Linked DNA regions of Drosophila melanogaster. Changing the gene in region 3 together with the main gene of any one other region gives a genetic interaction. Each region holds a gene or a part of one and is shown on either strand. Other genes may lie near its edges. The genes, in order: dgo, Vap33 and fwd.

What was found.
Region 1: of fwd (region 3) and dgo, changing one enhances a phenotype caused by changing the other (phenotypic enhancement), as found in Drosophila melanogaster (one study listed by BioGRID).
Region 2: of fwd (region 3) and Vap33, changing one suppresses a phenotype caused by changing the other (phenotypic suppression), as found in Drosophila melanogaster (one study listed by BioGRID).

The regions. Positions count from the first base shown.
Region 1 is NT_033778.4:10,818,204-10,821,958, reverse strand, and holds the start of dgo (diego), read left to right. Parts: upstream 1-2,074; 5' UTR 2,075-2,667; intron 2,668-2,855; 5' UTR 2,856-2,858; coding exon 2,859-2,918; intron 2,919-2,984; coding exon 2,985-3,410; intron 3,411-3,465; coding exon 3,466-3,755. Other genes in the region: RpS15Ab (ribosomal protein S15Ab), read right to left, coding at 1-146; Lsm10, read left to right, coding at 349-774; Prosbeta5 (proteasome beta5 subunit), read right to left, coding at 976-1,677, 1,740-1,886.
Region 2 is NC_004354.4:3,946,820-3,950,574, forward strand, and holds the start of Vap33 (VAMP-associated protein 33kDa), read left to right. Parts: upstream 1-2,155; 5' UTR 2,156-2,553; intron 2,554-2,661; 5' UTR 2,662-2,830; coding exon 2,831-2,894; intron 2,895-3,755. Other genes in the region: Gem4c (gemin 4c), read left to right, coding at 1-770, 830-1,284.
Region 3 is NT_037436.4:317,742-321,496, forward strand, and holds the start of fwd (four wheel drive), read right to left. Parts: upstream 2,144-3,755; 5' UTR 1,250-2,143; intron 49-1,249; exon of another isoform or gene 1-48.

The DNA.
Region 1 (3,755 bases), on a different chromosome or scaffold from region 3:
TCGCCGATATAGCCATGCTTCATCATCACGGTCAGGAACTTGATGATCACCTTGGAGCAGGGACGCAGCAGCACCTGCCGCTTGCCACGCTTCTCGGCGTTGTTTATGCACTTCAGGGCATCGGCCAATACGTTCATACGCACCATAGCTGGATTTGTTTGCCAAAACTGTTTTACACGACCGTCACGCAAACGTGAAAAAGGGAAAAAACCTTTACTTGAAAACTTCCGTAAGTACTTCTCTTAGATGTAGTTCAAAACTAATTAATGAAAATGTCAAATTACTTATGAAGCGAGTTGGCAGCTCCGTGTCCAAGAGCAAACACTTATTTTTAAACATATCGATATAATGCAGCAGTTTAGTGCGCGGGAGAAGTATTTGGTGTCCAACACCTTAAATTGTTGGCCCGTGATGCTGCAGGGTCATTCCGTACTGATCGATCTGCACAACGAGACCTCTGTGGCCGGAATCATCGATGTAGCGGATGGACACATGACCTGCGAGCTCACCCATGCAGTTTTCATCGATCGCAATGGTGGTCAGCACCCCTTTGATCACTTTATGGTGCGGAATCGAATGATACGGCAGATCCACATACCTTCGTACTTGGATGCCGAGCAGGAACTTCGAAGCGCAATGGAACGGGGAGTCCTGCGAAGAAAGCGAGTGGAAACCAAGGGCGGAAAGCGGACATTCAAGCAAAAACGAGCGGAAGTGCGACACAAGGAAACATTGCAAATGATCTCACAGCAAAAAAAGAATAAGGAAACCTAAACTATTAATATATGCGTACTTGTTATATTTACCAAAAATACATTACATACATACAACTACATTTATAGTAATAAACCTATGAAAAGCAAAACAAATTAGCCCAATCAATTATACACAAAACATAGTCTCTAGCACGTTTATTTATTCCAAGAAATTCAAACGTATACAAACTGAATATCTTATATTCCCTTAATCAAAACTCTACTTAGCGGCCTGCTGCTTCAACTGCTCCTGGTACATGTAGTGCAGCTCCATGCAGTCGGTGTTGGAGATGTTTACCCAGCCGTCCTCCTTAATGTGATACACGCGAATGATACCACCGGAGTAGGCATCCCTGAAGGTGGCATGGTAGATGGCGCGACGTCCCAGCTCCTGGGCCTCCTTGTCCTCCAGGTCCCAATGATAGCCAGAGTCCAGGACACCGTAGGCGTACAGCGATCCACTACCAACAGAGAACAAATTGCCAGGCGTGCGAGATCCCTCGGAGTCCACATAGTAGAGGCCTGGACCACGCTTATCGTAACCGGCCAGCATCATGCCCATGCTCAGACCCATTCCCTTGTATTCGTGGGCAATGTTGGCCATTATCTTGCTGGCGGCGGCCACCGAGATGCGTTCCTTGTTTCGAAGCTCGTGAAGGCGGCATTCCTTCGAAAGGACCCTGTCCCAGTAAACGCAATCGGCTGCGCCACCGGCCAAGGTGCCCAGCATGAACTGATTGATCTCCACGATCTTCTTCATCGACTGGGAGCCAATGTACGATCCACCCGTGGCACGGGAATCGACTGCCAGGAGAACGCCGCCCTTGAACTTGAAGCCCAACGTTGTGGTGCCGTGATCGAAGTTGATTTTGACGCCGGTCTTGTCGCCATTGGCCTGGATCTGATTAAGGTTGTGCAGGGGCTGAGGAAATTGTCAAATTTTTTAGTAAATTTCCCAAGAAGATCAGCTAATTAACTACATACGTTCTCGAATGGCGGAGCAGCCAGTGTGTAGGGATTGGCCAGATTGCACATAAGCCCTTTTTGCTCTTCCTCCACATCCGCCGATGACCAGGCATTGGGCCGCATGTACGGAGCATTCGATATCTTGCAGATTTCAGCTAAAGCCATTCTTAAAGCTCCTTAAAAAACAATTGGAAACGTTGAATGCGAAATGCCGATGACAAACAAAATTCGTTGCCTACTTGTAGAGTGACCGTACTTCTGTTGGAGCAATAATGCAGACTATCGGCTTCACCGTTAGCTGTCGCAGGTACGGCAACCCAGCTCGAAACCTGTTGCCAATTTTGCCTGTGATTGGCTTTCTTTTAGTCTCTTTTTAGGCCTGGCTTGAAGCCAAATTAACTCTGGGCGTTCCATCAATCCATCAATGGCCAAATACTGCAAAGTCGGGTACTGAACAATAGTCGAAAGTAAACATGTGTAAATACGTGAGAGTGGCGAATTGCAATGCGTAAATTGCGGTCCAAAGACGGGATTTAAAATTAGTGAAAAGTAAGTCGGGAATCGAGAAAACCTAGGCGCACTTTAAACCTGGTTTTCAGGTCTAGAAATTTACTGTAATAGTGTTGAACATTTAAGAAACCATACATGTTTTATCAATGTGTTATAATGAAAGACATTTAATCTACCCTCAAAAAGGTTGTATTTCAAATTACGAGTCCTTTATTTGATCGCTTTTGGTAACTCCCACTTCTATTTGTAATGACAATTACTACGTGGTACGCCATTACGTGAGGCACACATACATGCGCATACACGGCTAGAAAATGTGCGATCGAAGATCAGATTCATTTGATCCCAGGTCAAGTTAAGCTCTTTCGTCGTCAACAAGGTTATATCAAAGAATACCATCTTTCATATGATTTTCGACATATAAACGATTCTAACGGTAATTACGGTACTTTAAGTAAGATTTTTCATTTATTAAAGACAAAATGTAGTTCTAATATAAATAATTTTTTTAATTTTATCTGGTTTTGATAAAGTGTTACTTAAAAAGTTATAATTGCAACACATCATGATAAATGAATGAAATTATAATTTAACAAATTTGATAAATAATGAATATTTTCGCAGACAATGCAGCATGGATCCTCCCGCATTCCGAAACAGGAAGCTCTCCCGAATGCGATATCCGGGGTAAGTAAGGGCACTTGCCTGAACCAACAAATCTTACACCGATGTAACTTCTTTTTCTGATTTAAGCCCGACTCCAGCAATTGGACTTCGCTGCACGAGGCGGTAGCCGCCGGAGATGATCGCCGGGTGGAGGGTCTCCTGTTCAGCAATGCTGATCGACTGGCCAGGGAATCCGTGCAGGGGAATACCCCGCTCCATGAGGCCGCCAGTCGGGGGTTCAGTCGCTGCGTGAAATTGATCTGCACGCCCCCCACGCCACCCGCTTCCTCGGGGGTGGGAAAAGCAGCAAAGGGACAGAAGGACAAAGACAAGGATAAGAACAAGGGCAGAGTGAAGGTGGCCCACCAGACCATCGAAGCCCTACACAATAGCGCCCTGGGTATTGCCAACAACGAAGGGTTGTCCGCCCTGCACTTGGCCGCTCAAAATGGTCACAATCAGAGCTCTAGGGAGCTACTGCTGGCCGGCGCCGATCCCGATGTCCGGAATAATGTAAGTGTTGGATCATATCAGTGATAACCATGTTTAACATGTTTAACAATTTCAGTATGGAGATACTCCGCTGCACACCGCCTGCAGATATGGACATGCAGGAGTCTCCCGGATCCTGCTCTCCGCCCTTTGCGATCCGAATAAAACAAATCTGAACGGCGACACCGCTTTGCACATCACCTGTGCCATGGGTCGCAGGAAGCTGACAAGGATTCTCCTAGAGGCAGATGCTCGGCTGGGCATTAAAAACGCACAAGGCGACTGCCCCATGCACATAGCGATCAGGAAGAACTACCGTGAAATCATCGAGATCCTGAACACGCCGAAGAAGATACGGAATCGCAA
Region 2 (3,755 bases), on a different chromosome or scaffold from region 3:
TAATCAATTGGATTATAATAAGCGCTTCCCGATAACCAAATTTCTAGTACTGTGCTTTGAGAACGCAAGACAGACCTGGATTGATTTCTCCCACTTGGGCGTGACGCATACTCGCTTCTCGAAGCTATTCTGGCACATAGCTCAGTCTTGTCCCAAGCATGCTGCTTTTCATATTTCCGCCTGTGCCGATAACATCTTGGTGAACGAGCAACTACTTCAAAAGCCGTATGCCTTGCAGTTTACACTCTACCTATATGGCCACCGACAGATCCTCAACGGTCTCTACACGTCAGCGCGACAACTGTGCGTTAGTTTGAAAGACGGACGGTGTCCCTACGGAGAGGATGAGCTTAGGCAGGCGCAAAATAGGTTCCTAGACGCGTGTGCCTACGGTTTGGCCAAGTTTATAGAGCCCATGAACTTGCCCAGCTTGCAGTTAATCTTGAAACTGCTCAAGCAGATTAGTCTGGGTGAAAGCAATCTAATCACCCGAGGCACTGCAGAGTTAAATGCACTCGAAAAGGAGCACCCGAAATTGGAGAACGGAGACGATGCACCAGCTGTCAAGGTGGCCAAGCACTACACATATCTGAATGCCAGCTTGCCAGAGTGGCGTTTGAAACACTGGAAGCTGATCTCGCATGTCATGAAAACCATTGATGCCCTACGCTGGGACTTGGCCACCTTTGAAGATTTCCGGGTGGATAATTTAGAACTGGCGGTGTGGTATTGGCAGGACGGTCTGTCTCATCTGACATTCCTAGGCACTGGTGCGCTCTTATAAATGTAAGTCCAAGACGAAAGCCTACTAATTATTGCTCTTTCACAGAATGCCGCCAGAGGATCTTGAACCAAGTGAACAGTTTAAAGCACAAGGGCTTTTGGCTCATCTACCTTAAAGAAGACACCTTAAAGGACACACGCTCCTTTCTCAAATTGCTAACTCAGTCCAGTGCACAGGAGGCTAACGATCTCTTCAAAAAGCTCCTTAAAAAAAGGGCCGATTGTGCTGTTATGGGCGATCTTAGCGATGCAGTGGTCAAGGTGAACAGCGAGTCCGCTTTCATGGCCTTTAGATTCCTATTTCGAGAATATTTGATCGCCTTCCGGAGCCACGCCAAACACAATAAGACCATCACGAAGCGCCAGCATTGGGATCATTTGATGGCCGTTGTGGCCAAGGCTCCATTCTCCATTCGCAACGAGATTATGAAGCTAGCTAGTAAAGCCTTCGCTGTGCGATTCGGCATAAATATCCAGGAACAGCAGGCGGCCAAGTGTTAAGGAGATGCTGTTAGAAGTGTAATTTTCTTAAGCCAAATCGAAACTCCGCCGCTTGTCCAACACTTTAATTCTTAGGCAGTCAGATCTCTATATGACTAAAAACATATATAATATTCATAACGCTAGGATTGAACATCAGAATAATTTGATATCAGATTATTTTACAACTTTGTATGTCCTTTAAAAGGACGACTGTATGCACATAACAAATGTACCACTACCATGCAAATTTTTTGTCTTACTAAAAATACTTTGGCAAGCAAGTGAAGTTATTCAGCTGAAAATTAATAAAATTTTGCATGTTCTTTTTTTTCGTATTATTATGTATTATATATATAATATACAAAACGCTATGATTGAACATCAGAATAATTTGATATCAGGTTATTTTACAACTTTGTGTGTCCTTAAGGCCGACTATATTTACATAAAATATGTAATACTACCATCAAATACAAATTTGTGTTCTATTAAATAAATGCTTTGGCAAGCTTAAAATTATTGTAATTTTGCATGTTCTTATTTTTATTCGTATTTTTATGTATTACTTCGACTGCTTTGCTTCCTGTTGCAAAATTGTAACTTAAAACTAGGAAAATTTATTTTAATACATTTTTAAATTTCATGTACTCGTTATGTTATAAATTTAACTAATTTATATTCTGTCAAAAGCTGAATGGCATTATTCAGGGAAAGGAAAATTTTGGTGCAAATTGTTATTAATAACATTTTCAAATTACCTAAATAAAAAAAAATAGAAAAAATATCTTGTCTTAAAAAACACTATATATATTTTACAAGGTAATTTAACGACCAATGCTTGACAAGTATCGAAAAGTCGCTAAACTAAAAATATCGATACCCGATGCATCGATATTTTTTTCACATCACTAGCTGACAGAATATATGGCTTTTTTACATTTTGCGTTTTCAACTGAAGTTTGCGAAGAAACCGAAGCGTGGTAAACCACTGAAATCGAAAATATCGACAGAAAAGCGACCTAAAGTCGGTGAAGAAGTCGCACGTTGATCGTTGTGTTTTTTTCCCGAAATTTTCTGCAAAAAGCCCGTGCGTGCGTGAGTTTCTCTGGCTCTTGCTTTTTTTTTGTCCATGCGTGTGTGTGTGGTCGCATAAATTTACCGATATTTCGCCTGTGAGAGCGAAACGAACGAAAAACGAAAGAAAAAAAGAGAGACGAGTAAAGTAAAACGAAACAGGCATAAAAACAGCAGCAGTTTTCTTGATATATTTGGCTAAAAAACGCAAACGTAAGCGAAAAATTTGAAATCCCTCTTTTAATTTAGTTGTGTGCCTGTGTCTCGTATCTATGCGTGCGTCTGCATTTTAATATAATTTTGTGTGCATTTTCTTAACAGCAAACAGCCAGCAAGAACAACAAATAGCTGGGCAAAAACAGGACGCACAAAAAATAAAATTAAAACGATAAGAGGCGAAAAGCGGAGAGAGTGAAATTCTCGGCAGCAACAACGACAAGAACAACACCAGGAGCAGCAGCAACAACAACAACAAAAGCCAGCCGCCACAATGAGCAAATCACTCTTTGATCTTCCGTTGACCATTGAACCAGAACATGAGTTGCGTTTTGTGGGTAAGTTTATTTTACATTATTTTCGCGTTTTTGCGGAAAGGTCGCTGCATATCGACCAAAAAAGCCGATTCACCTCCCATTTCTTGCAAAGAGCAAACTGCAAGTTTCACTTTTTCTCTCTCTCACGCGCACATTTAATCTCCCTCCCTCTACGCTTTCTATTGCCATCTCGCTCGATTGGCTATCAATAATTTCCGTTGTTTTTGTTCTTCCTTTACATACGACACCTTTTATTGTTGTTCTTTTCGGGGTCTACGTGTATCATCGCTCTGCTTCTTTCCGTTTTTTTTCTTTTTTTTTTTTTTGCTTCAGCTCTTTAATGTATTTTATTTTTTGATGCCGGCAGCTGGCGTCGCTCTCTTTCTCACTTGCACTCGCCATCCCTCTCCCTCTTGCTCACTCGTTTCGCGTTTTTGGCTAGCATTATATTTTTATACGCAAAAACTTGTCATGGGCCATTTTAATTTTTTCTTGTCTTTTGGCTCCTTGAATTTTGGCCAAAAAGCAACAGCAGCAGTGACAAAAACAATGCAAAGAGCTCGCACAGTGGGTGCGACAAGTGGCACGGTTGTCATCGCATTGTTATTGAACTCCTGTTGCCAAGCTGCATTTTCCAGTGCATAAACATTTAATTTTTTTCGCGAAATTTTATCACAGTCTCAATTGCAGAACGAAATGTCTACTTAAATGACCAATCATTGTTGATTGCGATCTAGAATAATACACCAATAACCATTCACCATTTGTATTTTGTCTTATTGAAAAAAATTGAGTTAACTTTTCAAGTATTTTGCTATCGCTTCCATTGTGCGCAAATATTTTAATATCTGTGTATGTGTGAGTGAGCCTTAGCCCCATTCT
Region 3 (3,755 bases):
TGCAGCTAAATGTATTTATATATATATAAATATATATTTTTTTTTACCAAAATAAAAAAGTATGGATGATTTGAGAAAATGTATGCAACTGCTCGGGTTTATCTTACATCGCAGGCCACGATCGGAATCTGGATGACGGAAAATGTGCCATCGGCGATACAATTCGACCAGTCGTCTTTGTGTGCCAATAAATAATTTATAATTTTTAGCTTCCGTTCGCTACGCAAACAAAGCGGCCACGAAAGCAAGTTGAGAAACAAAAATAGCGACTTCAACCACAACTAGTTTTCAGTTTGGCCTGCGCTGACGAACCTGACTTCGCGCTTTTGGCATGATTAGTGATCGGAAACCAATCCAAACTCGTTGCCTTTTGCTTTAAAAATTCCCGTTTCGGATGTTTCCACTCGCACCCCCCGCTCACCAGTTACTTAACTATTTGGCAAGCGTCTAGCGACTCAACAGGCGGCAGTTGCAACTCTTATGTCAAAGTTATCGGCACTCAAAAGAGTAATTACAGTTTAATTACTATCTCCCGCTCGTTTCAAAAGTCGGTCCGGTCCGCATTGAAGCTATTCCCGGAGAAAGACTCTCCAGCGTCTTTCCACCTGGGCGAGAAGTAACTTAGGTGTGCGATTCGCAAAGCCCCATATCGAAGTCAAGCCTTGCTAAGCCTGGCTTATGGAGGGCAGTACGGGGCAGGAGATCGGGCTCCCCTTTGAGCTTCGCTCTTCATTTCCGTATGCCTTCCTGTTCACACTTTGGTAATCGCACTCTGCGTGGCCACGAACTACCATGCGTGGTAAACACTGTTCTGCGAGGGGTTCAACGACTCAACCCCGTTCGAGACCTCCGTAGCCCCATGTTAAAGGCAGCTTAGTCTCGAAATCGATAGGTGCACTTGAGTGCACTTCATTGCCGAACTAGGCAAAAGTCTTTACAGAAAGTCAATAAACCGACCAAAAAGAAGCAGAGATCAAAACACTCCTGTTCGAAAGGCTAAATGCATTCCGCAGCAGGAAGCTAAAGATAAACCAAGACATTTAAATGAAAGGTCAGGTTTCCGTGTTCCCCCTGCCCGAGCATTCTTTTACCCGCACTTCGCCGATACTGTGCCCGGGAGCACCAGAAACTAAAAACAATCAACAAGGGCGGGCTCGCATCCGGATATGAACGTGGTGGTGATAGCTGCCTTATCATCACAGACTAGGCACACCATTTCATTTCATTGATTCCAGAGGGAAATACTCACAATATCTTCATATCCAGTCGGAGAGATGTAATTCGCTGGGTATTGAAGACTATGCCAACTAACGCGAATAGGCAGAGCATTCCACTTTCACTTGTGGCTTTCGCGTCGGAACCCTATGCCGATTATTATCACCGTGGAAATGAGCAGGCGCCGCAGCGACACCTTATTGTTGCCCACTTGCTCGGAACTCTCGATTCGCCTGGCGTTCGCTTTAAATGTTGTTTTCCAGGTACGCGGTACACGGTACCAGTTTTGCCCAGCAATAAACAATTGAATTTTTAAGTTGCACAAGCACTAACACCACACCAACACAGGCACGGTTACAACTACAACGGGCACCACTACCAGCACGTACGCGACTTGCAAAATCTCGTTTCGCTTGTGTGCGTGTGTTTGCGAGCAATGCTGGCGTTGTGTGCGTGCGAAAATTCACTCGACGAGAAATCACAATTCGACGACACTTGTTTCAATATTCCACCAGCATTCTGCGTGCTTCCTTGCCAGTATCGGGTCGATCTCAAATCTTAAATATAAACAAGTTGTACATTGACTTTATGGGACAAGAGGAGAGGGCTGCTCTGCTCGCTGCGACCGAGGGGCGAGACACAGACACACACGCAGGCAGGGCGATGTCAGACACACACACACACACGCGCGAAGGAACAAAAAGAGACGCGCCCATAGTGTGTATACATCGTCGATACACAAGGGTGCACGAATGAAGCGGCGCGTACTCCTTTGGACTGTGTTTACCACCTTATTATGCACAGCTGCAGCACTTCAAAATTATCTGTAATCCGCTTCTGCTTCCTTTGTATTCTACTACAAAAACAAATTACGCGACGACCGGACGTCTACACGTCCAAAGCAATCGACTTTTTTCTTCGAATGACGCGTTGCTCGGCGAGTTTGTGGGAACTCGACGGAGACTCGAGTAATCGCTAGCGCGTTTTTCTGCTGGGCTGTGCGGTCACACTGTGCAACGACCTTTTCGGCTCAATAAATATACCATTTACTCGTTGAGTGAATCGGTATTCCCGTTACTCGTAGCGTAAGCGGGTATACTAACCGATTCGAGACTTTTGAATGACTAACCGAAACAAAGAGGTTTTCGAACGTATCTGCATCCTAGTATAATCGGTGACGAGTGAGTCTTCTTGCCGAAAATATCTCATTTGTAGCGCTTGCATTCCATATTGCCGGTGTGAAACCTATCACCCAATTCTGCTCTGGTTTCGTTGCATTTGGTGAGGGCATGAATAAAATAATTTGTTTTTAAGTGACGCTTAGAAGCATTCCTCGCTAAATTGCGCAATTGTCTGAGCGTCCCAAATTAGAAAATGCATGATAAGCTGCCTTCAGACATAGTAATTTAATAGCACACATGCCCACATGTTGAGATCTCAAGGCGTAGATTAAATTTTCCGACCGGACAGCCGCAGCCTGGTTCTGCGTGAGTTCAACAATCTCTAAATTGGTCGTTGCAATGTAAATTGTGCTGCAGGCCACTGCGATCGGTCCCTTTCCCCTGGCGCAAGCCACATTTTTTTGATTGACTTGAATTGGCTCTTGGATATGATCGTCCGCTCAAAATGCTTGGCTGCTATGTGGACGAACAGCTCGCGTTTGGTTTTCCATCTCATTTCACTTGCGTCCACCATTTCTGTTGGGATTTATCTATTTATCTCAATCAATAAGTGCACTGCAAGACAACTATTTTTGTTACACCCATATGGTTTTGTCTCTGTGGACATCGGATATTTCTATTAATGTACAAATTCTGTGACACTAAACTATGATGATCCGAGAAAACGGCATTCGTCGAATCCTTTCCGGGGTTTCCATGCGGATTTTAGAGAAACATATTCCATAAGCACCTCTTGGAAATGACCCTTTACAAGTACTGAGAAAAATCTGGAGACACATGTTCGGAAATAAAATTTGGGCCTATTCTGAGCACCCCTCAACTGCAGAATTAGTGAGCAGAAGTTGTTAAGCGTATGGGTGATCCTGCCCCATGCTCATGTGGCATCTGGCATGTGGCTTCTACCACTGGGTTAATCGACAGCGACTAAGAGAGTGCGAACTGGTCCAGGGGGAATCGAAATAAAACCATATGCGCCCTGAAAGTATTTTTGGAACACACGAACCCAACGAAATGGGAGGATTCGTTGGTTCGGTTGATTTCATGTCATTCCTGCTGCATTTTTGGTGGCTGTCGCCACACCCAAGTCTAAAAAGTGTAGTTCATCGTTTATTGTGTATTATTTTAAAAACACTCTACATCCAGTAAACAAATATGGGGAGTGTTTCATTGGAGGAAGGCGATTTGTCAGAACATTACCCATGCGCTGAACGTCGGTCCCAATGCTTCTGTGGATTGATAAAAAAAAAAAATGATACAATCAGTCGCGGCAATACTGTCCTACGCAATTTCGATTATGTTCATTTATTTATATTAAAAGTAGCAAGGAACCAGTCAATTACGTGACTATCTGCGGGAAGC